Linked DNA regions of Callithrix jacchus. The protein of the gene in region 1 interacts with the protein of each later gene in a biochemical or structural test. Links are inferred from orthologs where the notes say so. Each region holds a gene or a part of one and is shown in the gene's direction. Other genes may lie near its edges. The genes, in order: RELA, PARP1, TLE5, DPF2, ING4, RXRA and GTF2B.

Region 1 (3,947 bases):
CGGGGTGCTAACTCTATTTTCACTTTTCTCTTCCTGTTTCTTCAGAGCCTGGGAAACAAGTCAGAATTTCCAATCTTTTCCAATTCCCACATGATTTCCTAATTTAAGACGAATTCAGAGAAAAAATAAAGTCTTTCTCCATCTGGAGAAGACTCCGCCCCCTGCAGTGGAGCATCCTCTTTCGGGGAGGAGGTGTGGGGTGGGGGTGCGCCAGCCCCAGCCCCGACACGTACGCGGTTTGGTCTTGGGGGCGATACCGGCACTGTGGGGGTCACATGACAGAATTAGTGGTCAGCCCTAGCTAGAGGTCCAGGGCAAACGCAGGGGTGGGCGGGGGCGTCGTGACTCTGCTGATTCAAGTGTCCCCTGGGGGTCCCGGACCTTCTGAGACAAGCGCCAGGCTGCGGAGACAAGGCTCCGGGGTTTACCCCCGGGCTCCTCCTGCTCCCACGGTCGCTCAGGGTCTAAAATGCAGTTCGGCTGCATCTTAAGCTGGCTCTTTAGCGTGAGAGGGGCGAGCCCTCGGCCAGCTCGCCGGCGGGAGGGCCTCGGTCGTCCCATCCGGGCTGCAGGCTCTGCAGAGCTAGTCTATACTGTCAGGCGAGGAGGCCCGGCCGCTCCCCTTCCCCAGAGCCGCATCTAGATTGGGGTGGCTAGGACATTTTAACGTGCTTCTGAGACAGTCACCACCGAAAGGCGCCTTTAGCGATCAGGAAACCCGCGTAGACTTCAACCACCTGGCCTTTGCGGGCGCAGAAGGCCAGGCTTGGCCTTTCCCTGCGCGGGACGGGTGGCCGCAGCCCAGCAGCCCTGGCTTAGCTCTAGACCCGGCCCAGAGTGACATCACCAACTCCACCGATCGCGGGAAGGGGCCCCGAAATCCCCTAAAAATAAAGTGAGTAATCGACGGACACGCCCTCCAGGTGGGGCCGGGACTCGGAAACTAGCCCAGCAGCCTGCCGCGCCAGCCTCTTCGTCCCCCGCGAGGCGCGCACTTGGCCCCGGCCCCCTGCGGCGGCTGTGCGCGCGGCCTCTTCGTCCTCCGCGCGGCGCGCACTTGCTCTCGGCCCCTGCGCCGGGCCGCCGCGGTGCAGCACGCAGGCGCGGCCGGATTCCTGGCAGTGACGCGACGGCGGGCGCGCGCGGCGCATTTCCGCTTCTGGCGAATGGCTAGGCTGTAGCGCCCGCCGCGGGCCCAGCTGCGACCCCGGCCCCGCCCCCGGGACCCCGGCCATGGACGGTGAGGTCGCCCTCTGACCCCGCGGGGTGGCCGCGCCGGGGCCGCCGGGGCTGTGGCGGGAGCCCCCGCGCCGCTTTCCGCCCCTTCTTGCGCTGATGGGCGCTGCGCAGGGAGCGGCCTGCCTGCTGGATGGTGGCGCGGGGCGGGGCAAGCGGGGAGGGATCTGACTCAGTTTCCCCTCTGGGTGGAGGGGAGGGCCTTAACTCAGTATCCTCCCTGGGTGGGACAGCGGAGGGAGCCTTGACTCAGTTTCCCCCCCACTGTCTATGGGGGCAGCTCTGGCTTCGTTTCCTTGTTAGGGAAGAACGCATCTGATTCAGTTTCCTCTCTGGACGGAGGTGGGGCGTGCCCTCCCCCAGTTTTCCTTATGAAAGGAAAACTAATTCAGTTGCCCTCGGGAGAGGAAGGATTCCTTACCCCGTTTTCTCTCAAGAAGCAGGTGTTTCTGGCTCCTTCTCCCCACCCTTTAGTTTCACCGCCTGTTCTAGGGAACGGGTCCTGACTCCGTTCCCCTGGGAGGGAGCCTGGCTTCTCTTCGTGGGGAGCAGATTCCCCCGGTGAGGATGGGCAGTGGGTGTGTGCTGACCCTGATCTCTCTCCCCTTTCAGAGTTGTTCCCCCTCATCTTCCCGGCAGGTAAGTGGCCCCCGCGGTGGTCGGGGAGGTGCTCCCTGGGGTAGGGCAGCGGGGGCAGCCACCTAATGGGTCTGCGGTGTCCCCTGGCAGAGCCAGCCCAGGCCTCTGGCCCCTATGTGGAGATCATTGAGCAGCCCAAGCAGCGGGGCATGCGCTTCCGCTACAAGTGCGAGGGACGCTCCGCGGGCAGCATCCCTGGCGAGAGGAGCACAGATACCACCAAGACGCACCCCACCATCAAGGTCAGCATTGAGCCGGGGAGTGCGGGGTAGGGACTGCGAGCCCCAGCCCTCTGTTTGGGAGTCAGGTTTGGATGTCTGGGCTTCTCTGTACTTTGGACAGATCAATGGCTACACAGGGCCAGGGACAGTACGCATCTCCCTGGTCACCAAGGACCCTCCTCACCGGCCTCACCCCCATGAGCTTGTAGGAAAAGACTGCCGGGATGGCTTCTACGAGGCTGAGCTCTGCCCGGACCGCTGCATCCACAGGTGAGCTCCCTGCAGTCTAGGAGGCCCAGCCTGAGGGGACAGGATGCGGGCTGTGAGGTAGACGCTACAGTGTTACTCCTTTCTGGACACAGGACAATTTCTCACTCCTTGCTCTGACATAGTTCTGCAAGTAAACTCCCTTTGTTTTAAAATTATCATTTATACCTCTACTCTAGCAGATAGGAGCTCTAGGGGATAGGGATGGGTCCCTAATCACTTCTGAATCCCTGACCCTGTAGCTGGAAGGGGTAGTCCGTCAGAGTCATGTCTCTTGTTTGAGAAAGAAAACCATTGAACCAGTACTCTCCCCGGAGTTGACATTACAGTTGACAGAGACAGACTATAAAAAAAATATACAGGCCAGGCGTAGTGGCTCATGCCTATAATCCTAGCACTTTGGGAGATGAAGGCAGGAAGATCTCTTGAGCGTAGGAGTTCAAGACTAGCTAAGGCAACATAATGAGACCTTATCTCTACAAAAAAATAAATTAGCCAGGTATAGTGTCATGTTCCTATAGTCCCAGCTACTTGGGAGGCTGAGGTGGGAGGACCACCTGAGGTGGGAGGCTGAGGTGGGAGGACCGGCTGAGGTGGGAGGACTACCTGAGGTGGGAGGCTGAGGTGGGAGGACCACCTGAGCCAAGGAGGTCCTTGCTGCAGCAAGCTGTGATCATGTCACAGCATTGAAGTCTGAGTGACAGAGTGACACCCAAGTAAATAGCCTGGCACAGTGGCTCATGCCTGTAATCCCAGCACTTTGCGAGGTTGAGGTTGGCGGATCATCTGAGATCAGGAGTTCGAGACCAGCCTGACCAACATGGTGAAACCCTGGCTCTACTAAATACAAAAACTTAGCCGGGTGTGGTGGTGCACACCTGTAATCCCAGCTACTTGGGAAACTGAGGCAGGAGATTGGCTTGAACCTGGGAGGCGGAGGTTGCAGTGAGCCAAGATTGAGCCATTGCACTCCAGCCTGGGCAACAGAGTGAGACTCTGTCTAAAAATACATAAACAAATAAAATATGAATAAATACACAGATAAGTAAACAAGGTACTGTCAGAGTAATACTTTCAGTGCTGAAAATAAAACAAGGTCATAGGATGAAAGGATAACCTGGGGTCGGGGAGTGAGGGGAGCTAGTGTAATGACTAGATTGGGAGGTCAGGGAAGGCCTCCCTCTGCTACTGCTTGAATGGTGAGGAGGAGGAGAAAAGTAGGAAAAAGAACATTCCAAGCAGACCAAACAAGTGCTAAGACCTTGAAGTGGGAATGAGTGTCTTGTGTTAGAGAAGGGAAAGGAAGCCCCTATGGTGGTAAGCAGATGGCCCAAAGGGAGGCTGGCAGGGGCGGGGGCGCAGAGGTGCTTGTCAGCGGAGGGGAGGGACAGGGTTCGTTGCAGCATAGTGGGAAGCCACTGGAGGGGGTTAGGTATGGAGCGATGATCTGCGGGTGGGCAGGGGAGGAAGGAGCAGGCTGGGCAAGGCAGGAAGGTCCCAGCTCTGCAAGAGACAGGTGAGTGGGGGTGTTCAGTTTCCAGAACCTGGGAATCCAGTGTGTGAAGAAGCGAGATCTGGAGCAGG
Region 2 (3,500 bases), on another chromosome or scaffold:
CAGTAAGCAATATGTGATCCCTTGTGTTTTATGTATCAATTACAGAACATCTGTACCTTTTTAAAGGGTATGTACATGCACGAGGCAAGTTTTCAGCGTGGCAGTACTTGCTGCTTATGCATCGAGGCTGTTGCCCCCAGGCACTTGGCCCACAGAATCAAGGCCAGCTCCCTAGCTTATCCTCAGAGCCCTGCAGCCTCTTTCTGCCACCCTCTTCCTCCTCCTCACATACCACTTTCCTCTCCTCACCCACCGCCAGTGTTGCTTATACTTTTTTTTAGTTGAGGCATTAAAGCAGAACTCATTCTTTTTAGGAGTACCTAGCAATAGGGCAGCTAGCCATGGTGCCCCACATCCCACCAGGTGCTACTCGGATGGCTGTGCTTAGGCAGTCTTCTGAGTCTTCAGTTCCCAGCAGGCTTAGCAGGTCACTGCCTCCAAGTATATGCTAGCATTCCCTGTCTTATATCACCTTAGCACGCCTCTGGCATAGCTTAGCTCCTGTGTTAAAGTTCACCTTTATAGACTGGGCACGGTGGCTCACGCCTGTAATCCCAGCACTTTGAGAAGCTGAGGTAGGTGGGTCACCTGAGATCAGGAGTTTGAGACCAGCCACCTGGCCAACTTGGTGAAACCCTATCTCTTAAAAAAAAAAAAAAGTTTACATTCATATAGCTGACTCTCAGTCATGAATGAGATACTTTCTCAAGGGCATAAACTGTCTTTTTAACCAAACTGTAATTAGTAGCACATATTAGGGTGGTCAGTGTGTGCTGGAAAGAATCTGTGACCTCTTATATCCAGCTGGCACCCTGAATGTGGGCACAGCTGGGAAGGGCAGTTTTTTCATTAGATGAAGACCTGGATCTTTCCCTGAGCCTCGTGTATTTGATATTTATTGAGTGATCGTTTAGAGCAAGGCCCCTTGTAAATCACTTGGAGTGAAGATTGAACTGTGCTGATGGAAGAATTTGTTGTGAATACTGTAAGGCTCTCTGCATTCATTTTCCCTTCTTCTAAAAAGGGAAGGGAATACTGTGATTTCCTTTTGGGTAATAATCTCCCAGTGCATATAGTGTTGGGGGTTTTGGAGTTCTGGAGTAGGTGTGTGACCCCACAGAGCCCCATTAACTCTTGAAGGGAACAACTCAACAATGAGGCCAGGTAGGCTGTATTCACACAGCAGTTCCAGGGGTGATTCCCTGGCCTAACTGTCCGCTGATTTGTTTTTAAGGGAAAGATTTTTCTCATAAAGCAGCCACAATACCAGCCCTACTATAAATGTAAAAATATCAGAAATAAATACTATAGCCCCAGTAATAGAATCTTTCATCCTAGAAGCCCCGCATTTTTCTATTGTTTGTTGTAAGAAGAAAAAACTAAAAAGAAAAGAGAAAACTCCATTGTAAGAAGTAAAAAAGAGATTATTTAATTTGGACAAGCCAAATCCTTTTTGGTCTATGGGGTGGTTGCTTCAAGGGAGAGCTGGCTTCTTAACTAAAACTAAATATTTTTTAGGAATTCCGAGAAATCTCTTACCTCAAGAAATTGAAGGTTAAAAAGCAGAACCGTATATTTCCTCCAGAAACCAGCGCCCCAGTGGCTGCCGCACCTCCGCCCTCCACAGCCTCGAAGCCTGCTGCCGTGAACTCTGCTTCAGCAGGTATAGCACGTGGGGCCCCAGTCTTAGAGCTGCTTTGCAGGAATCATTTGTCCACTATTTGATGGTGGTATGGAGCTGGTAAGAAAGTACCCTTCGGGGGTCTCTCTTTGCTGACCCCACCGTGGGGAAGCCTTGCCCTGCAGGGCTTTGACTTGTTACACGCCCAACCACAGCAAGGCAGGAGGATATTAAGACTATAACATCGGCTGGGAGCAGTGACTCACACCTGTAATCTGAGCATTTTGGGAGGCCAAGGCAAAAGAATTGCTTGATGCCGGGAGTTCGAGACCAGCCTGGGCAATATAGCGAGACCCCATCTCTACAAAAAGTCTTAAAATGTTCCAGGTGTAGCAGCTTGTGCTTCTAGCTCTAGATATTCAAGGAGGCTGAGGCAGAGGATTCCTTGAGCCTGGGAGGTAAAGGCTGCAGTGAGCTATGATTGCACCATTGCACTCCAGCCTGGGCACTGGATCTCTGAAAATAAAATAAGCATGGTAAAAAAGCAAACGACTCTTATTCTGGGATGCTAGGAGGGGGCTCCTAAGAAAGGCTGGGTCGACAGCCTTACCTGGAATAGCACGCAGGTCTCCTTCCTGACTACACTGCAGAGCAGCTTGCCAGGCCTCACTCTTTAGGCCATCTGGTGGGCCTGCCAGTCATCCTGGCCCTGGTGTGATGCTCGAGTCTCTGTTGTGTGCAGAGGGAGTTACGCCCCAAGCCAACCAAGACAGTGAGAGCAATGTGTTCTTTTGGCAGAAGTGACCTGCTGCTTATTTTCTCAGCGACATGTGGCATGGTCTAATGGTGAAGGTCACAGTTTGGTGGGTGGAGGATGAGGGTTCCGTCCTTGAACGTAAATCTGTTGTTGACCTCTGTTTCATATTCTGAGAGGGACCAGTGGTCACTGCAGTGTGTGTGTGTGGTCATCCCAAGTCCACTGTGCTGCTGGCAGCCTTGGGTCCAGGTGCCCACCTGAAGAGCTAGGTGGGGGCTGGCATTCTGACCCCTCCTTGGAGGGTTTCCTCCTCTGTTTTCCCCTGACTTGCAGTTCAGCACAAATCAATAATTTTGTTCTCTGGAGACCACACCAGTTTCAACTAAACTGTCAGTGTTAACTAGTTGTCTGCCTTTACAGGGAAGGCAGGAAGGACTTTTCTTTGCAGCATCTCCAGTTCTGGAAATGTGTCACTAGCACTGTTATTTGCTGTGAACAGAAGGCACACCTCTGTCCAGGCCTTTCTGGCCTGGGTCAGTGCATACCTGGCTGCTGCTTTTCGCCTAGAATCAGTTGGCTCACCTCAGTGTGATTGTGCTGGCCACTGTTTGGAGGGGCTATCGTAGACATGTCTTACTTTTAAAACGGGGTTAATTAATAAGAATTGCAATTTGTTTGGGAGGATAACAGAAGGAATTGGGGGGATCATGTGGAAGAACCCCCAATTCCTTCTGTTACCCTCTTCCCATCCCACTCCAGCCTCCTGGTCCCTCATCCACAGATGCAGCCTTCCTAGCCCGCCCATGGAGCTGACCTTGGGTAACCCCCACCTACCTGGTTCATGCCAGCAAGGCTGGCCTGGCCATGGATTGGCATTTTGTGGCTTGCTCCCTGCCCAGTCCTTTCTGTGTCAAGGGACATCTGTAGGTGCTCAGATGGCAGCTTGCTGTCCCATCCTGTTTTCTTCCAAGCATATTTTCATAGGCTTCCTCAGGAGCTCGCTGCTTGGCTCATCGGCTTCTCCACCTCCCCTTCCTGGGGAGCAACATCAGAGTTGGCCTTGCTGAATGATTTTGTCCTTTCATCCCCAGGTAAGCCGTTATCCAACATGAAGATCCTGAC
Region 3 (4,117 bases), on another chromosome or scaffold:
AACCCAGGAGGCAGAGGCTGCAGTGAGCCAAGATCGTGCCACTGCACTCCAGCCTGAGTGACAGAGCAAGACTCCATCTCAAAAAAAAAAAAAAAAAAAAAAAAAAAAAAACCACCAGGTCCTGTCCCTCTTCCTTCCACAGCCCTCCAGGGCTCCCACCTCACTCAGAGCAAGAGCCCTGTACTCCCCGAGGCCCACAAGCCCTTTTGGAACTGGCCTGTGTCACCAGCTACAGAGTTGCAGGGCACAGTACAAAAGAAAACTGAAAGGCCCCTTGTTCGAAAATGATTCGGAATTTCAAAACGCAGCAGTAAAGATTCACCCAGGCAGAAGCCCTGCTGGGGGCAGGGGGCCTGGGCAACAGCATGAAGCCCCAGGCCCAGGCCCTGCCTCCATCCCGGGCATCCTGGTGCCAGGCACAGTCCTGCCCCAGGGCCTTTGCACCTGCTCGTCCTGCCTCTGACTGGCACTGCCCCCATCCCCTGTTCTCGCTCCTTGGGGTCCGTTTGTGGAGGAGGAAGCCCTCTCTGACCCTCCCTGCCCTCTGTTCAACCTTGCACCTTCCTACCCCGCCATTGTCCCAGCCGATTTTCCCCGCAGAGGCGTCCCCACCATCTGACCTGCTGGGAATTCAGCTCCTGAATTTATCTCTGTCTGTCTCCAGGCACCTCACCAGGGCAGGGGCCTTGTACCCCCCCCACCCACCCCAGGGCCCTGGAGCAGCCGGGCCTGGCACACAGGCCCTCCATAAAGGTGTCCAAAGAATGGCTTCCCTGAGGAAGGCGGCATGACCGCTGCCTTTCTGCAGAAGAGGAAACTGAGGCCCGGCGAGAACCACCGCCCAGCCAGAGCCAAGGTCACAGAATACGTCCCTGGCACGCGTCCAGGTCGTGCCACCGCAGGGCCGGCGGCTTCGACCTGGGCAGCCGGGTCCCTTTCTCTGACAGATGGGGAAACCGAGGCCAGGCCGGCCGCCAGGCTGGGGCGGGTGGCGGGGGCCGCGGCCCGGGGCGGGGGCGCGCCGGGCCCAAGGTCACCGCGGCGGGCGGGCCCCGGGGAGGCGGGCCGGGGTGGGGATCCGCAGGCCTCCCCGGGCGCGCGCGTCCCCCCCCTCGGCGGCGCGCACGGGGCACGGGCGGCGGCGGCAGGTGGAGCCGGAGCCTCCGCAGCAGCCGAGCCGCGGCCACCGCCGGCGTCGCCGCCATTAGACAATAGCGGTGGGGCCGGGGAGCGGGGAGGCGGGCGGCGGGGAGGGGCGGGGAGGGGCGCCGGGCGCGCAGGAAGCGGGGCCCGGGGCGCGCCGGGGCCGGGCGCGCGGGGAGGGGGCGCAGGAAGCGGGCGAGGCCGGGCGCGGGAGGCGGCGGCGGCGGCCCCGGGAGCTGCCGATCCGCGCCGGGACAAAGGCGCGGCCGCCCGGCGCCCCGAGCAGCCCGAGCCGGGGCGCACAGCCGGGGCGCAGCCCGCGCCCCCCGCCGCGACTGACATGATGTTTCCACAAAGCAGGCATTCGGTAAGCGGGGCCCGCCCGCCCGGCGCCCCCTCCCCGCGCCCCCGCCCCGCGCCCCCCCAGCTCCCGGGCCCTGGCTTCCCTCTCGGGCTCCGAGCCCCGCGCGACCCCCGTCCTGCCGCCGACCCCCGGACACCCCCTCAGTTCCCGATTCTCCCCCAGCTTCCGGGCCCCGAACCCCCCCCCAGCTCCCGGCTTGGCGCCCCCCCCCCCGCCCGCCGGGACAGGCAGGGCCTCGGACGGCCTTGGCCTCGGGCCTGGGGATCTCCGGGAGCCCCGCCAGGCACCTCCAGCGCGGGGCTCCTTTGGGGGCCTGTGGTGGGGGGGACAATCCGAGGCGTCCCCCCTCCCGGAAGAGAGCGCGTCCCCGAGGAAGGGCGCTGGGATTCTGGGGTGGGCTCCCCCCCGGAAGATTTAGGGCGCCGAGAGAGACCCCCTTCCCCAAGGGGACTTTGCAGGGGGGACTCGCTGCCCCTCAACTTGGGGAGGGGGCTCCCTAGGGCGCGTTTCCACCCCCCTCGGAGGCACCCACTCCCGGCGCTTTGGAGGGGCGGTAGAGGGCGTACCCTGCCCCCCACCTAGGGCGGGCCTTAAAACGCACCCCCCACTGCCTGGGGGTGGCGGGGGACGGGGCGGCTCCGGGCGCACCCACCCCCTCAGCTTCCCCCGGGGAGAGGCGGGGGCAGGAAGCGCGGGTGGGGGCCTTGCCAGGGGCGGTAAACACGGGCCCAGGAAGTGGGGCAGGAGGGGGGGCGCCGCAGCTGCGCGGCCGCTCCCTCCTGGCCCGCCCTTGAGGGGGGCCTGGCCCACGCCTGGGCCTGACCGGGGCGCCCCCCTCCCCACAGGGCTCCTCGCACCTACCCCAGCAACTCAAATTCACCACCTCGGACTCCTGCGACCGCATCAAAGACGAGTTTCAGCTCCTGCAAGCTCAGTACCACAGGTGAGGGGCGGGTCGGGGTCCCTGCGCCCGAGAGGGTGAGCCCCCTTGTTCTGCACGGACGGCAGATTGGGAAAATAACGTGTGCTAGGCTCCGACCGAATCGCTTGACAAATACTGAATTCCTTTCTTTAAACAGCCCCAGTTTGTAGAGGAGGAAACCGAGGCACAAAAAAGTTAAATAATTTGCCCAAAGACCCACCTGTGTGACTTCAGAGTCCCTCCCTCCTCCCCAGTCTCCCCCAAGCCCCCCCCCACCCCCCGCTGGATAAAAGACCTTGCGCCAACCAGCTTAGAGCCTGGACTCACCATCCCCCCAACCCCAAAACACATTTTGTAACCTGGTTATGTCTGTCTTTGGCCAGTTTTGGAGAAAGGGTTCCCAGCGCCCATCACGTTCTCCAAGGTGCTTCTCCTTTCAGAAATCTGACCTTTCTGAAGAGTTTGCCATGTAGCTGGTCTAAGGCGAGGGAACTATTGAGTCCTCTTAAAGAAATGTAAGCCCAGGCCGGGCGGTGGCTCACCCTTATAATCCCAGCACTTTGGGAGGCCGAGGCGGGTGGATCACGAGGTCAAGAGATCGAGCCCATCCTGGTCAACAAGGTGAAACCCCGTCTCTACTAAAAATACAAAATTAGCTGGGCACAGTGGTGCGTGCCTGTAATCCCAGCTACTCGGGAGGCTGAGGCAGGAGAATTGATTGAACCCAGGAGGCGGAGGTTGCGGTGAGCCGAGATCGCGCCATTGCACTCCAGCCTGGGTAACAAGAGTGAGAATCCGTCTCAGAAAAAAAAAAAAAGAAAACAAAAGAAAGAAGCTTAAGCCCAGAGAGGTCAGGGATTTCCTCAGGGTTAGTATCCACAGCACTGAGGAAGGGGCAAGGCTGAGGTGGGCACCAGGTCTCTCTCCTGGTGTAAGGATGCAGATTCCCACGTGCCCTGCTCTGGAGGGGCGCAGCAGACCTGGGAGTCTGGAGGAAGTCAGGCCACGCTGAGGCCCACGTTTCAGCCTGGGGGCCCTCTCCTGACTGCAGTTTGCCCATCCTGGAGGGACCCTGGACTTCCTCCAAGTAGAAAGGGGAATCTCGATTTTGAAACTATCCAAACTTTCGGGGTACTCCCTGTGTGCTAAAGACCATATGTGCTTCCTCGTGAGGTCCGGCTGTCGTGCCCATTCTCAAGATGGGCACACTGAGACCCCGACAGTCAAAAGCACTGGAACCAGCTTTCCAGGAAGGCCCCAGAAACTTCTATTTGGGTCCCTGGAAGCATAGGGTTTGAGACTGCCTGGTGGGCCCTGGGGCTGACCTGATTCCACAGGGAAGAGATCAGATGGCCTTCGCAGTGCTGTGTGACCTCCAGTAAGCCAGACGCCCTCTCTGAGCTTTGGAGTCTCCATCTGCTGGGCCTGGGCTTTCTGCTATCCAGAAAGCCCTGCCATATCAGGCACACACTGGATGTTCAAGGCATAACAGCCCCTGGGTGGCCGGATCAAGTCTCACGCTGTCGCCCAGGCGGGAGTGCAGAGGGGCAATCTCGGCTCACTCCAACCTCCGCCTCCTGGGTCAAGTGATCTCCTGTCTCGGCCTCCCAAGTAGCTGGGATTACAGGCACGCGCCACCACTCTCCTAATTTTTGTATTTTTAGTAGAGACAGGCTTTCGCCATGTTG
Region 4 (3,500 bases), about 330 kb from region 1:
GTACTCCAGCCTGGGCAACAGAGCAATATTCTGTCTCGAGAAAAAAAAAAATCTTTTAAGGTTCTTACGAGGAGAGTAAAATAAAAGTATAGCTGTAGCTGCTGATTGGTTTTTAAACTTTCTATAGACAAGAGCTAGAGGCCGGCACAGTGGCTCATGCCTGTAATCCTAGCACTTAGGGAGGCCAAAGCAGGCAGATCATGAGATCAAGAGTTTGAGACCAGCTTGGCCAAAATGGTGAAACCCCATCTACACTAAAAATGCAAAAGTTAGCTGGGCATACTGGCGTGTGTCTGTAAGCTCATCTACTCAGGAGCCTGAGGCAGGAGGATCATTGGAACCTGGGAGGCAGAGGTTGCAGTGAGCTGTCATGCCACTGCACTCCAGCCTGGGCAAAAGACTAAGACTCTGTCTTAAAAAAAAAAAAAAAAAAAAAAAAAAAAGATCTAGAGAACAGTGCTAATTTAGCTTGACATTTCTTGCTTAGAGAGCGTTAAGTTTTTGTTGTTGTTGTTGTTTTGTTTTGTTTTGTTTTAAGAGATAGAGCCTCCCTCTGTTCCCCAGGCTGAAGTGCAATGGTGTAACCTTGGTTTACTGCACCCTCAGCTTCCTAGGCTCAAATCATCCCCTACCTCATTTCCCCCAGGGACTTCGTAGGACCACAGGTGTGCACCACCGTGCCTAGCTGATTTTTTTTTTAAAACATTTTGTAGAGATGAGATCTCACTATATTGCCCAGGGTGGTCTCTCACTCTTGAGCTCAAGAGATCCACCTGCCTTGTCCTTTCAAAGTGCTAGGATTACAGGTATGAGCCACTGTGCCCAGCTCCCTTAAGTTCTTAAGAGCTCACTCTCATTCTGTCTTGTTCTCTCTTCATCACATTCTCCCCACACATACACTTAAGTGTTTCGTTCCCAGCCCTTTACCCCCAAGACTGTTTGCCTTACCTTCTGAAATCCCACAAAGCTCACAAGAGCTTTGACAGAACATCTCTCATCCATTCCCCCAAAACTGTTTCCAGCCTCTTTGCTCTGACTTTGCAGCCCTCACCAGCCTGGCCCTTTCTTCCGTTTGACTTCCAGTGTCAGTATCAATTTCCATCAACAGAAACAAAGGAGCTGCCTTAGCTTGTTTATCCAGTTTTATTCTGTGTGGTGAAGATGTGGCCGCCTCCTAAAGACAAGCCCACAGAGGCTGCCTTCTTCATTCTGCTCTCCAGCACGAGATTCGTGTCTACCTCAGACTATAGTCATTACAGCTCACTGAATCATGCCAGGCTATATTTGAGATATTGCCATCTCTGCATGTGGTATGTGTATTTTTTACTTGCTGGGCACATGCTAAGCTATGCAGTGGTCTATTGTCTGCTCACTGAAGGCCCCCGTCACATTCCAGAGCAGGGTTGTTGGTGTGGCCTGAGTTACGGACATAAATCCTAGAGACTGAATCTGTTCAGTGTCTCATGTCCAGTCTTTTTCTCGTAAAATCGTGATATATCAAAGCTCATCTGGTCCACCCTCTTCAATCTATAGAAGCGTAACCAAGGTCCACCCGGGTTATCTAAATGTCTGTGTTCATCTGGTGACTTGCAGGCAAGCCAGGTCTACTCTCAAGTCAAGTCTGACTGTATCTCAGACATCTTCATGAGCATTGTGGATACTATGAGAAAGAAATCAGTTCTGCCCTCAGTTTAAGATTGATTGACGCCAGGTAATGTGACGCACACCTCTCTTCCTGGACACTTGGGAGGCTAAGGCAGGAGGATCACTGGAGCCAGGAGTTTGTGTCCAGCTTGAGCAACATAGTGAGACCGTGTCTGTTTAAAAAAAAAAAGGATTGCTCGAATGTAAGTGTAAATTGTTAGAGTTAGTTTAACCTCCATTACCAAAGTGCTTGTTAAACCCTGCGGTATGAGAACAGGATAGCTTCTCTCCATGCTTCTTAGAACCAGATAACTCCTGGCACTGTTCAGTTTTCCAGTTTTCCACTTAAAGGTTTACCCTTGATTCAGATTTCAAATTGTCTCTTGATACCAAGAAGATTCTTTCCTATATAATTTGGTTTTGTGAGCGTGGAGAAGAACCCCAAGATGGGCCTTAGAGCAAACAAGTTTCTGATCAGTAACGGTGCTCAGTAGAAGCTTCAAGGAACTTCAGGTACTTGTAGACATCTTCTGTAAATATAAAATTAATTAGCTGGTTAAAAACCTATTTCAAAATTCAAGAGATATAAAAAGGCATGTGGAAGGAAGTGGCCTAGTCACCCAGTTTTTCTCCCTGCAGACGTGTAGTTTCTTTTCCAGTTTGTTACATAAATGACAGCTGTCTTTGACACTTCTCAGCAGTGTGCCTTGCTTTGCTTTTTTCCCTAGTTAACTTGAGATTGTTCAATATCAGTATGTGAAGAGCTCCTTTGTTTCTTATGGGCAAATAGGATTTCATTGTATGGATTTTCCATACTTTACTGAATACATTTTAATAAGTTCCCTAGACCTTAATGAACTCTTTCCCTCTGGAACAGATCCTGGGGCAAGGATGTGGGTGCATGTAGTTTATTTGGGATGTGATTCTAGGAAGGAGAGAATAAGGAGGGACTGTCCTCTGCTTCTCAGCATCGTAAGGGTTAAGAGAAATAACACAGCACAGGGCTGGGCTTGCGAAACACACAGAGTGAAACGTTAGTTCCTTCCCCCGCTTTGGGGGGTTAGACTTAAGTCTGATTAGACATATGATGAAATCTGTGTTCCTGATGGTAATTTGCTTGAAAAGTAATTCCTCATGATGGCCTAGAAAAGGGGCTTGGTGTCCCATGAGGCAGAAGTGGAGGCAAATAGAGTGGAAGAGACAGCCTCCCAGTCCCTTGAGCCTTCTAGAGAAGCAGATGGCAGGGGAGAGGAATAGTTCAGCACCCCATACTCCCTCTCCAACACACACGCCCGATTTCTGTCTTCCTTGCAGCCTTGGGGAGCAGTACTACAAAGATGCCATGGAGCAGTGCCACAATTACAACGCCCGCCTCTGTGCTGAGCGCAGCGTGCGCCTGCCTTTCTTGGACTCACAGACTGGAGTAGCCCAGAGCAATTGTTACATCTGGATGGAAAAGCGACACCGGGGTCCAGGTGAGGGTCCAGACTTGGGAGAAGGGGACTTAGGAGCATAAGGAGGAAGAAGCCTCCTCGTCTTAGGTGATGAGACAGGTGATAGGGTTTTCCCTATTGCCTTCTGCCTTTAGATGAATATGGTCTTCTTGTGATTAGAAACCCAGGGAGGATGAAGCAGATAGGTTGATACCAGCATCTTTGTTTTCTGCCCTGCTGAGGCCTTTGTGTGTCTGGAGAACTATGTGTTAGCCAAGGCTCCTAAACTTATATATCTCTTTTTCTTTTCCACAGACTGTTCCACCCAACTCCCTAGGCCCTCAGTGTCAGAATTCCTCCCTTGCTCTAGAACTTAAAGTGGGGCCTACTTATTTAGAGTATTTGGTATTATTTTCTAATACT
Region 5 (2,967 bases), on another chromosome or scaffold:
TTCGGCGGCTGGACACAGACCTGGCCCGTTTTGAGGCTGATCTCAAGGAGAAACAGATTGAATCAAGTGACTATGACAGCTCTTCCAGCAAAGGCAAAAAGAGTGAGGAGGGGGGCGGGGCTGTGAGAGTTGGGGCGAGGATTCAATGAGAGAAGACGCCAGCTCTTCATCTGGTGGGGAGTGGGGCAACAGGTTGGAAAGAGAGGAAGAGAAGAGGACTTAACTCATCTTTCTGTCTCCCTGCCTTCTGGCTTTCCCCCTCTTCCCTAGAAGGCCGGACTCAAAAGGAGAAGAAAGCTGCTCGTGCTCGTTCCAAAGGGAAAAACTCAGATGAAGAAGCCCCCAAGACTGCCCAGAAGAAGTTAAAGCTCGTGCGCACGTGAGTGTATCAGGGAGCCCTTTGCCAGATGACGTCCCCTTCTCTCCCAGTGCCCCACTTCCAGCCTGCACTGCCCCCTGCCACTTTCTGTATCTCTGCCAAGAACTCTTCTTATCATGTTGGTATCTGCTGGAGAAGAGAAGCCACAAATCATTTGCCCCACCAGGATCTCCTGCCACCTCTGAAAGCCTCAGGCTTTAGCTTCCCTTCCTGTAGATGACACTTTCTCTTCCTCTTGGCATGCAGAAGTCCTGAGTATGGGATGCCCTCAGTGACCTTTGGCAGTGTCCACCCCTCTGATGTGTTGGATATGCCTGTGGATCCCAACGAACCCACCTATTGCCTTTGTCACCAGGTCTCCTATGGAGAGATGATTGGCTGTGACAACCCTGATGTGAGAAACATTTTGCCTCAGGATGGGGGGTTGTGAGGGGCATGAAGGGAGCGGGTACAAGAGGGAAAATCCCACAGTTGAGTACTGGGACTTCAGACTAGAAGGAAGACGGGCTGGGCATGGTAGCTCTCGCCTGAAATCCCAGCACTTTGCGAGACTAAGGCAGGCAGATCACTTGAGGTCAGGAGTTCGAGACCAGCCTGGCCAACATAGTGAAACCCCTTCTCTTCTGAAAATACAAAAATTAGCTGGGTGTGGTGGCACACACCTGTAATCCCAGCTACTCGGGAGGCTGAGGCAGGAGAATCGTTTGAACCTGGGAGGCAGGGGTTGCAGTGAGCTGAAATCGTGCCACAGTACTCCAGCCTGGACAACACAGCAAGGCTCTGTCTCAAAAAAAAAAGAAGAAGAAGAAGAAGAAAAGGCCTGACTCGGTGGCTCATGCCTGTAATCCCGGCACTTTGGGAGCCCGAGGAGGGTGGATCACTTGAGGTCAGAGTTTGAGACCAGACTGGCCAACACGGTGAAACCCAGTCTCTACTTAAAATACAAAAATTAGCCAGGCGTGGCAGCGTGTGTCTGTAATCCTAGCTACTCAGGAGGCTGAGGTGGGAGAATTGCTTGAACCTGGGATGTGGCGGTGGCTATGAGCTGAGATGGTCATTGCATTCTAGCCTTGGCAACAGAGTGAGATTCCATCTCAAAAAGGAAAAAAAAAAAAGAATTCAAGGAAAATGGTGGGAACTGGTTGGCCTTGGGGCTTCCAAGAACTCTCCAAAAGGATGGAGTAAAGGACAGGACATACCTAAGGAATCTGGAGGGGCTTTCTCTCCTTCCTCTGGCCCATCCTGGCCCCTGACTACGTTTTCCTTCTTCCTCTTCCAGTGTTCCATTGAGTGGTTCCATTTTGCCTGTGTGGGGCTGACAACCAAGCCTCGGGGGAAATGGTAAGTAGCAGGGGTTGGAGGGTCCCTAAGGTGAGTGGTAGAGGGCATTCTCCCTTTCACTTACTTTTCTCTCCCCTTCTGTTTTTCAGGTTTTGCCCACGCTGCTCCCAAGAACGGAAGAAGAAATAGATAAGGGCCCTGGATTCCGACACAGTTTCTTCCACATCCCCTGACTTGGGCTAGTGGGCAGAGGAATGCCTGTGCTGGGGCCAGGGGTTCAGGGAGAAGTGGATGGCACAGTACTGTCATCCCTTCTCCTCCCCTCTCCCCACTCCCGGTGCTGAGGCTGCATCAAACCCTGGTAGGGAGGGGTGCTGCAGCCACTAACGGTATGTGCTCTCCTTCAGTCCTCTCCCTTCAAAGGGACGTGGTCTTGCCCACTGTCCTTTTGCCTCCATGCTGAGGTTGGTGCTGTATTTCAGAGGGAGGGTCCTTTTCATTCCCCTTGCTTTGTACTTAAGGACTGGGGTATAGCATGGGGGCAGTCCCCTAGACCTCTTCATTCCCCCTCCTCCTGTGGTGAGGGCTAGGTATGATCAACACTGTCTTCTCCATTCCCTTCCTGCTTTTTTCATGGTGGGGGATCCCCCAGGTTATCTAGGCTCTGGCCGTAGTTGAAGGGGAACCCCTTCCTCTGTGCCGAGAGGATTCATCCTGGCCTTGTGAATGGGAGAGGGGGCAAGGTGGAATGCAGATAACTCACATGTAAAAGGAACTTGGGTAGGTAAATAAAAGCTATACATGTTGGCCTGCTGTGTTTATTGTATAGACATTGTTTGAGTAAATGTGCCGAGCACTTCTTTTTGCATCCTCTGGGTTGGATACAATGTGAGATGATGGCATGCCACAATTAGGACCCGACATGAAACCAGAGTGATGCCTCTGCCCGAGAACCCACAAGTTCTCAACTTGGGAAGGACAGAGGTGCTGAAGGGTGGGCCTCAGACCAGGGGTCTCCAAAACTTTGTAAATTGTACAGCTTTTCTCCATAAAACATCTTTCACTTAATTTCCAATAAATGATTTATTTCTGTTATACATGTGTACTACTATACCAAATATTAGCTTGATTTATTCCCTTATTTTTTTTTTGAGACAGAATCTTGCTCTGTCACCAGGCTGGAGTGCAGTGATATGATCTCAGCTCACTGAAACTTCCACCTACCAGGTTCAAGTGATTCATCTGCCTTAGGCTCCCTAGTAGCTGGGACTATAGGCACGAGCCACCATGCCCAGCTAATTTTTGTA
Region 6 (3,500 bases), on another chromosome or scaffold:
GTTCGCTCTAGGCTCTTTACTCTGGGGCCTGAGCTCAGCACTCTCCAGCATCCTGAGGGTGGCTTCTGGGGACTCCAGGTGCTCCTGGGGGGCATTGGTAGTGCCCATCCGTGTTACAGGGTTGGGACCCAAGGGCAGCAGAGGCGTCCATTGTCAGTCCCTGCGGCAGCTTGAAAGCAGCAGGTTCCGGACACAAGTCTCTGGAGGGCGAATGATTGACCCAAGGTCACATGGCTGGCAAGTGGCAGAGCCGGGCTTGGGCCCAGAGCAGCCTGGCCTGGCCTCGGGTTCCACACTCGCTCCCTGCCAGTGGGCTCTGGGTTCATGTCCTGTGGCATCCCTCACACCACCTGCTCTGCCCATATCAGGGCAGCCTGGGAGACCCCACATAGGCCTGGGTCCTGGGGGCAGGTGCCCAGGACGTGCCACAGCCTGGGAGACCCTACACAGGCCTGGGTCCTGAGGGCAGGTGCCCAGGATGTGCCCCAGCTGAGGGTTCTGACTTGTGGCCTCTCCTCCTTTCAGACTCCAAGGGGCTCTCGAACCCGGCCGAGGTGGAGGCGCTAAGGGAGAAGGTCTATGCATCCCTGGAGGCCTACTGCAAGCAGAAGTACCCAGAGCAGCCGGGAAGGTGGGCCCCGCCCCCCACAGACCCCAGATCCGGGCTGTCTCCAGAGCCCCCACCCTCTGCAAGGCTGTTTTATGTGAATGAGAAGGTGGCAGCCTCCCCAGGCCCAGTCCTGGGCAGTAGGTCCTGAGCAGGCTCCGGGCCAGTGGCCGTGGTGAGCATGACCCACAGGTTCACGCCGTATGTATCCCTGCTGGAAGGATTACCTCAGACCTGGAGCGTAGTAGGTGCTTGTCTTTTTCTAGTAGGTAGATGAAGGCTGTGCTTCAACCCCCACCCAGTCCCCTGCCAAGCAGAACCACCAGAGGCCAGGCGACACCAGCACACAGTAGGTACTTCACAAGCATGTGTAGCCTAGATGGCCTGATGTTCACACGTAATAAACATTCTCTACAAGTGTGTACAGCATAGGTGACCATGGCCCCCTGGAGGAGTTCATTTTCCCCCCACCCGGCAGTGGGCCCCAGAAGGGCTGGGAGCCTCTCATCTCCAAGTCCACGTTGCTGGGTGCGCAGTAGGTGTCCAGGAAGAGAAACTTGTGGATTCCTGGGATTCAGAGTCAGCTCTCCAGAGTCTGCCCCTTCTCTCTAAAGAGGCTTCTCCCGGCCTCTTGATCCTCAGACTGTGGGCAAGGAGTGGGGTGAGGGGGGCCCCCAAACCCGTAGGACACCCAGGCCCTGGCGCCACCGGCACATACACAGTTAACCGTGTCCCCACTGCCTGCTCGGCCCTCATCTGGCTTGGTTTAAAGTGAAACTTCCCGGAGGACGAGGACAGGAGGGGGTGGCAGGCGGCTTGTTTTTCCTGGCTCTCTGCCCTGGCCCATCTCGCCAGCTCAGCAGAAAACAGCTTGTTCTCTGGCCCAACTCCAGCCTCTGCGTTGTTTTTGCCTTTAAAACAAGAACTGTGAGGCAGCCAACCACAGAGCTTTTCCCTGAAATAAAGACTTCGTTAATAATTAATGAGGTTCTGCAGCCCCTGGTGGGGCTGTGTGGAGAGACCCAGGTGGGCCCTGGGGCAGACATGGGCAGCCGGGAGGGACACCTGGCCCTGTCTCCACAGCACCCTGTCCTCTGTGGTAGCTGTTGCCCTCATGCCTGGCCCTCTGCACCCCTTCCCAGAGCCCCAGACTTCTCCCCTGCCTCCGCACTGGTCCCTGCCCCAGGAAACTCCCCAGGGGTGGGCCGGGCCCTGAGGAGCAACGCATGGTGCCTCCCTCCCTGCCAGTCTTCTCTGACCATGCTGTGCCCAACTCCAGAAGAGCTATTTCTGCTGAAGAGGTGGCCCTTGGTCTGGTGCCCGCAGTGCTGCATGAGGTGTGCTGGGGAGACACTCACGGGGTGCTGACACTTTATGGGAAGGGGCTTGCCTGGTACACGGCTCCCAGGTCAGGCCTGGCTCCCCCTGCAGTGGGGGCGCAGCCCGAACACCACCCCCCATGCCCTTTGACTTCTTGACTGCCTATCCAGTGCCCTGCCCATTCCTGCCACTCACCAGTGTGCTCAGCACCCCTTTCCCTCACAGGCCTTGCTGTCTCTTGCTGGGACGGCTACAGAAGCTGGAGGAGATGCTGATACGTCCACTCCTGCAACTCTCCCCTGCTGCAAATCCCGCTGACGGTCCCTGTGGCCCACATTTTTTCATTTTTTAGGACACAGTCTTGCTCTGTCGCGCAGGCTGGAGTGCAGTGGTGCGGTGGTAGCTCACTGCAGCCTCCACAGTCGGCTCTCAAGCGGGCCTCCCTGCAGGCGTGCACCACCAGGCCCAGCTACTTTTTTTCTCTTTTTGTTGTGTAGAGACACGGTCTCACTGTGTTACCCAGGCTGGTCTTGAACTCCTGGGCTCAAGCTGTCCTCCCACCTTGGCCTCTCAAAGTGCTGAGATTACGAGTGTGAGCTACCCAGCCGCCCACAATGTTTAACTCCTTTACTGAAGCTCTTCAGCGGGCCCCCACCCGCCGCTGTCTGGCCCCACCCCTCCTCTCTGTCCTCGGCCCCAGGGATCTCCCTTCACTCTCCTGGCTCTGGCTGCCGCCGCCTGTTTGCTTCTAGCCTCCCCTCCTTCCTTCTGGGGGCTTGGCACAGACAGGCCCTGGGCTACAGACCAGCTTCAGGGAGGTTGGGCTGTCAGACACAGCCCCATCCCCAGGGAGGCCTCCAGGTGCCACAACAGTACTGCCTGTGCCCCTTGCCTGGCCCTCACCGGACCCCTTCCCTGCAGGTTCGCCAAGCTCTTGCTCCGCCTGCCGGCTCTGCGCTCCATTGGGCTCAAGTGCCTGGAACATCTCTTCTTCTTCAAGCTCATTGGGGACACGCCCATCGACACCTTCCTCATGGAGATGCTGGAAGCCCCACACCAAATGACTTAGGCCTGCGGGCCCATCTTTCGCACCCGCCCAGTCCGGCCACTCCGCCTGGACGCAGCTGCTCTTCTCAGCCTGAGCCCTGACCCTGCCCTTCTCTGCCTGGCCTGTTTGGACTTTGGGGCGCAGCCTGTCACTGCTCTGCCTAAGAGATGTGTTGTCACCTCCTTATTTCTGTTACTACTTGTCTGTGGCCCAGGGCAGTGGCTTTCCTGAGGCGGCAGCCTGAGTGGCAAGAACTAGAATGAGCCCAGCCAGGCGCCTCCCCACCGGGCTCTCGGGACACTCTGCCACACCCCACGGGGCTTGGGTGGCTCACAGGGGTCTCCTGGCTCCGGGCCCAGGAGCTGCAGGAGTTGGGAACAGGGCCTCGGTTCCCATTGCTGTTGAGCGATGCTGGTTTTCAGAATTCCCGGGTGGCCCTCCTGTCTGGAGTGACGTCTTCGCCTGCCCATGACAGCTCCCCTTAATCAGGAGGAGGGGACAGCTGGGGGCACAGGCTGGCTCGTC
Region 7 (3,500 bases), on another chromosome or scaffold:
GTAAATAGCCTTCTAAAACCATGTTTGAATTTAGTGTTGTAGGAAAACTTTCACCAGAAGTATTAAGTGGATTTCTTTTTGTTTTTCCTTTTTTTTTTTTTTAAACAGTCTTGCTCTGTTGCCCAGGCTGGAGGGCGTAGTACAGTCTCAGCTGACTGCAACCTTCACCTCTTGGGTTTAAGCTATTCTCGTGTCTCAGTTTTCCGGTTCTCGTGCCTCAACTTCCTGAATAACGGGGACTGCAGGCACGTGGCACCACGCTCAGCTAATTATTGGATTTTTAATAGAGATGGGGTTTCACCATGTTGGCCAGGCTGGTTTCAAACTCCTGGCCTCGTGACTCGCCTGCCCACCTCCACCTCCCAGTGTGCTGGTATTTTAAGCACAAGCCACTACGCCTGGCCCAAAGACTCCCTTTTAAATTTAGAAGTGACTACTCCTTTCCAAATCTTTGAGGTTTATAGAAATTATTCATGAGCAAATGCATGTAAAGAAATTCACAAGCTAGGTGCAGTGACCAGCCTGGCCAACATGGTCAAATCTCGTCTCTCCTAAAAATACAAAAATCAACTAAGCACAGTGGTGCACACCTGTAGGAGGCTGAAACACGAGAATCTCTTGAACCTGGGAGGCAGAGGTTGCAGTGAGTCTAGATCCCACCACTGTACTTCAGCCTGGGAGACAGAGAGACTCTTGTCTCAAAACACACAAAAAAATGAGTTAGTGAATTGCTGGCCTCAATAACTTTGTAATATCCTATTCACAGCAGCCTTCAGCTTAGGCTATATGTTGATAAAAGTCATAAATGATACAGAGGAATAATTAGAGAAAGGAAGGCAATCATTAGTTACTTAAATGAGCCATTGTCCATTCCCTTTGGCCTTCACTCATGTTTTAAGGAAATTTTGAATCTTTAATAAAATTGAGAACTCGGAGCTAGACAGTTGGTTCTTGAGGCACATTCCTAGTTGTAAAGTTTATTCTAATGAGCAACACAAAAACATTAATCCTGGTGCTTTTTGCTTTTTAGCTTTATATGAAATATCTTTGAATTTAAGGTCCTTTTCTTCCCTGCACAGCAGGCAATTGACAGTCAAATTGTTGGCATTTATTGGTATTTAGATCTAGAATAATGCAGTGAGATAAAGAAATTTAAAATTAGCTAATTGCACAGTGATGGGAAGCATTCACAGTGAAAATCACTAGAATCTCACTGATTTGAATCAACTGAAAAGGTGGTAAAATGAGTTTGTATTAAAATATGTTTAGGTTGGGCATGGTTGCTCACACCTGTAATCCCAGCACTTTGGGAAGCCAAGGCGGGTGGATCACCTGAGGTCAGGGGTTTGAGACCAGCCTGGGCAACATGGTGAAACCTCATCTCTACTAAAAATACAAAAATTTGCTGGGTATAGTGGCAGGTGCCTATAATCCCAGCTACTCAGGAGGCTGAGGCAGGAGAATTTCTTGAACCCGGGAGACAGAAGTTGTAGTGAGCCTGGGTGACAGAGTGAGACTCTATCTCTAAATAAATAAATGATGTTTAAAAATCCATTTTAATAAAGCATTCATAATACTTAACCAGATATTTTAGTGGCAGTCCTTTGTTATTTCTTTTAATGACTTTGAAAGGAAAAAAGGGATAGTGACTTTAAAGGGTAAAAGTAGATCTGTTAGGATTCTATAACAGAAGAAATGTTCATGTGAGCTCAAAATACTTGCTTAAGTATGTGCTTGTATCAGTGAAAAAAATCTAAAAATGTACATATGGTTTAATAAATAGCTGTTGATCTCTGATGTATTACATAGAAAAAAATTATAGAACAATATTTATAGTGTCACATTTTGTTTTTAATAAGGACCTTTTAACAGAAGTTAGCGAGGGGAGATTTTACATGGGAGCTTTCAAACACAGAAATATAAAGTGAATTTCTTTACAATAATGTATCTGTGGAGTACTTTTGTAATCCTCAGAAAGATTTATAAAGAAAAAGGAGCAGTTCTAAATATGATATCCAGTATAATATAACACCCCTAGTGCTAAGATATGAAGACTATTCACATTTTTTTTGTTGGTTGGTTGGTTTTTTGAGACGGAGTTTCGCTGTTGTTACCCAGGCTGGAGTGCAATGGCACGGTCTCGGCTCACCGCAACCTCTGCCTTCTGGGTTCAAGCAATTCTCCTGCCTCAGCCTCCTGAGTAGCTGGGATTACAGGCACGCACCACCATGCCCAGCTAATTTTTGTATTTTTAGTAGAGACGGGGTTTCACCTTGTTGACCAGGGTGGTCTTGATCTCTTGACCTCGTGATCCACCCGCCTCGGCCTCCCAAAGTGCTGGGATTACAGGCGTGAGCCACTGCGCCTGGCTTCATGTTTTATATTAGTTAAACCCTTTAAAACATTGACAGCCCTGTAAAGTAGTAACTACTTGTACCATTTTTATTGTTACTAACTTTAGCTCCCACTTTCCACCTTTTAGTATGTATTTCCATTATTAGTTTTTAGAAATTAGCACTTCCGGTTTTATCTTTAAGTTTGGCACTTTTTACTGTCATATCTCACAAATTACAATGCAGGTAGTAAAAAGGAGGTAGGATGGAAGTGACAGTTAATGTTTTGATTTTTGTCTTTTAGAAATTGGAGATATTGCTGGTGTTGCTGATGTTACAATCAGACAGTCCTACAGACTTATCTATCCTCGAGCCCCAGATCTGTTTCCTACAGACTTCAAATTTGACACCCCAGTGGACAAACTACCACAGCTATAAACTGAGGCAGCTAAAGTCAAATTCATGAATACAGAACTTTGCCTATTGTACATAGCCTATACAAAATGATGGGTCAAGCCTTTCGTGAGGAAGAACAAGACGGTACGCATTCCAGGGCTGACTACTATTGCTTGGCATTCTGTATGTATATAGTAGTAAAACATATTTAATGATTTAAATTTCTTATCAGATTTCTTTTGTAGCAATCTAGGAAACTATTTTGGAAGATATTTGAAAGTATGTAATTCCTGAATAAAACATTTTTCAAACTAAAGTTTTGTTATAATTACATGTTACTTGTAACTTATACATAATTGCAAATAATGCAAATCATTGCAGCTAATAAAGCTGATAGAGGTTCTTGATTTCCATTATTTTTCTTATATATACAGTTTTTTTAAATAAATACATGGAAAGAGCAAAAGCTTTTGAGAACGATTGTTAACATCAACATATTTAGTTTCTAGTTTGAAAGGATGTGTATGTGAGATTTATTAATATGTATATTATTAAACAAAAAGTGATGAGCTTGGACCTTGAAAGGTACCAGATTGAGAGATTAAAATGTTCTAAATATGTGATTTTCTCAGCTTATTGAGCAGAGAAGATGCTGGTAAATTAATAGTAGCAGCAGATCAACAGATTTTAATTTCTGGATGTTAAAATCTAATGTAGAAGCTGCATGTCTCTGGTTCTTTTTTATTCTTTGTTATGCTTACTGGTACGCTC

Evidence for each region.
Region 2: the proteins of RELA (region 1) and PARP1 form a complex in vitro, tested with the Homo sapiens proteins (2 studies listed by BioGRID). The link is inferred for Callithrix jacchus from reciprocal best matches to the Homo sapiens genes RELA and PARP1.
Region 3: the proteins of RELA (region 1) and TLE5 form a complex in vitro, tested with the Homo sapiens proteins (2 studies listed by BioGRID). The link is inferred for Callithrix jacchus from reciprocal best matches to the Homo sapiens genes RELA and TLE5.
Region 4: the proteins of RELA (region 1) and DPF2 form a complex in vitro, tested with the Homo sapiens proteins (2 studies listed by BioGRID). The link is inferred for Callithrix jacchus from reciprocal best matches to the Homo sapiens genes RELA and DPF2.
Region 5: the proteins of RELA (region 1) and ING4 form a complex in vitro, tested with the Homo sapiens proteins (3 studies listed by BioGRID, with this or other methods). The link is inferred for Callithrix jacchus from reciprocal best matches to the Homo sapiens genes RELA and ING4.
Region 6: the proteins of RELA (region 1) and RXRA form a complex in vitro, tested with the Homo sapiens proteins (2 studies listed by BioGRID). The link is inferred for Callithrix jacchus from reciprocal best matches to the Homo sapiens genes RELA and RXRA.
Region 7: the proteins of RELA (region 1) and GTF2B form a complex in vitro, tested with the Homo sapiens proteins (2 studies listed by BioGRID and IntAct). The link is inferred for Callithrix jacchus from reciprocal best matches to the Homo sapiens genes RELA and GTF2B.

What each region holds. Positions count from the first base shown.
Region 1 is NC_133511.1:122,752,141-122,756,087, reverse strand, and holds the start of RELA (transcription factor p65), read left to right. Parts: upstream 1-1,147; 5' UTR 1,148-1,233; coding exon of another isoform or gene 1,234-1,240; 5' UTR 1,241-1,335; coding exon 1,336-1,372; intron 1,373-1,848; coding exon 1,849-1,875; intron 1,876-1,965; coding exon 1,966-2,117; intron 2,118-2,217; coding exon 2,218-2,366; intron 2,367-3,897; coding exon 3,898-3,947. UniProt on the Homo sapiens protein: NF-kappa-B is a pleiotropic transcription factor present in almost all cell types and is the endpoint of a series of signal transduction events that are initiated by a vast array of stimuli related to many biological processes such as inflammation, immunity, differentiation, cell growth, tumorigenesis and apoptosis.
Region 2 is NC_133520.1:22,865,382-22,868,881, forward strand, and holds part of PARP1 (poly [ADP-ribose] polymerase 1), read left to right. Parts: intron 1-1,518; coding exon 1,519-1,663; intron 1,664-3,469; coding exon 3,470-3,500. UniProt on the Homo sapiens protein: Poly-ADP-ribosyltransferase that mediates poly-ADP-ribosylation of proteins and plays a key role in DNA repair.
Region 3 is NC_133523.1:2,836,650-2,840,766, reverse strand, and holds the start of TLE5 (TLE family member 5), read left to right. Parts: upstream 1-1,483; coding exon 1,484-1,510; exon of another isoform or gene 1,511-1,511; intron 1,512-2,352; coding exon 2,353-2,450; intron 2,451-4,117. Other genes in the region: uncharacterized protein LOC128930549, read right to left, coding at 670-1,485. UniProt on the Homo sapiens protein: Transcriptional corepressor. Acts as a dominant repressor towards other family members. Inhibits NF-kappa-B-regulated gene expression. May be required for the initiation and maintenance of the differentiated state.
Region 4 is NC_133511.1:122,421,575-122,425,074, forward strand, and holds part of DPF2 (zinc finger protein ubi-d4), read left to right. Parts: intron 1-2,958; coding exon 2,959-3,119; intron 3,120-3,500. UniProt on the Homo sapiens protein: Plays an active role in transcriptional regulation by binding modified histones H3 and H4. Is a negative regulator of myeloid differentiation of hematopoietic progenitor cells. Might also have a role in the development and maturation of lymphoid cells.
Region 5 is NC_133510.1:20,839,024-20,841,990, reverse strand, and holds the end of ING4 (inhibitor of growth protein 4), read left to right. Parts: coding exon 1-102; intron 103-270; coding exon 271-379; intron 380-625; coding exon 626-773; intron 774-1,658; coding exon 1,659-1,720; intron 1,721-1,809; coding exon 1,810-1,849; 3' UTR 1,850-2,467; downstream 2,468-2,967.
Region 6 is NC_133502.1:182,994,507-182,998,006, forward strand, and holds part of RXRA (retinoic acid receptor RXR-alpha), read left to right. Parts: intron 1-525; coding exon 526-631; intron 632-2,848; coding exon 2,849-2,996; 3' UTR 2,997-3,500. UniProt on the Homo sapiens protein: Receptor for retinoic acid that acts as a transcription factor.
Region 7 is NC_133508.1:126,082,252-126,085,751, reverse strand, and holds the end of GTF2B (transcription initiation factor IIB), read left to right. Parts: intron 1-2,637; coding exon 2,638-2,771; 3' UTR 2,772-3,045; downstream 3,046-3,500. UniProt on the Homo sapiens protein: General transcription factor that plays a role in transcription initiation by RNA polymerase II (Pol II). Involved in the pre-initiation complex (PIC) formation and Pol II recruitment at promoter DNA.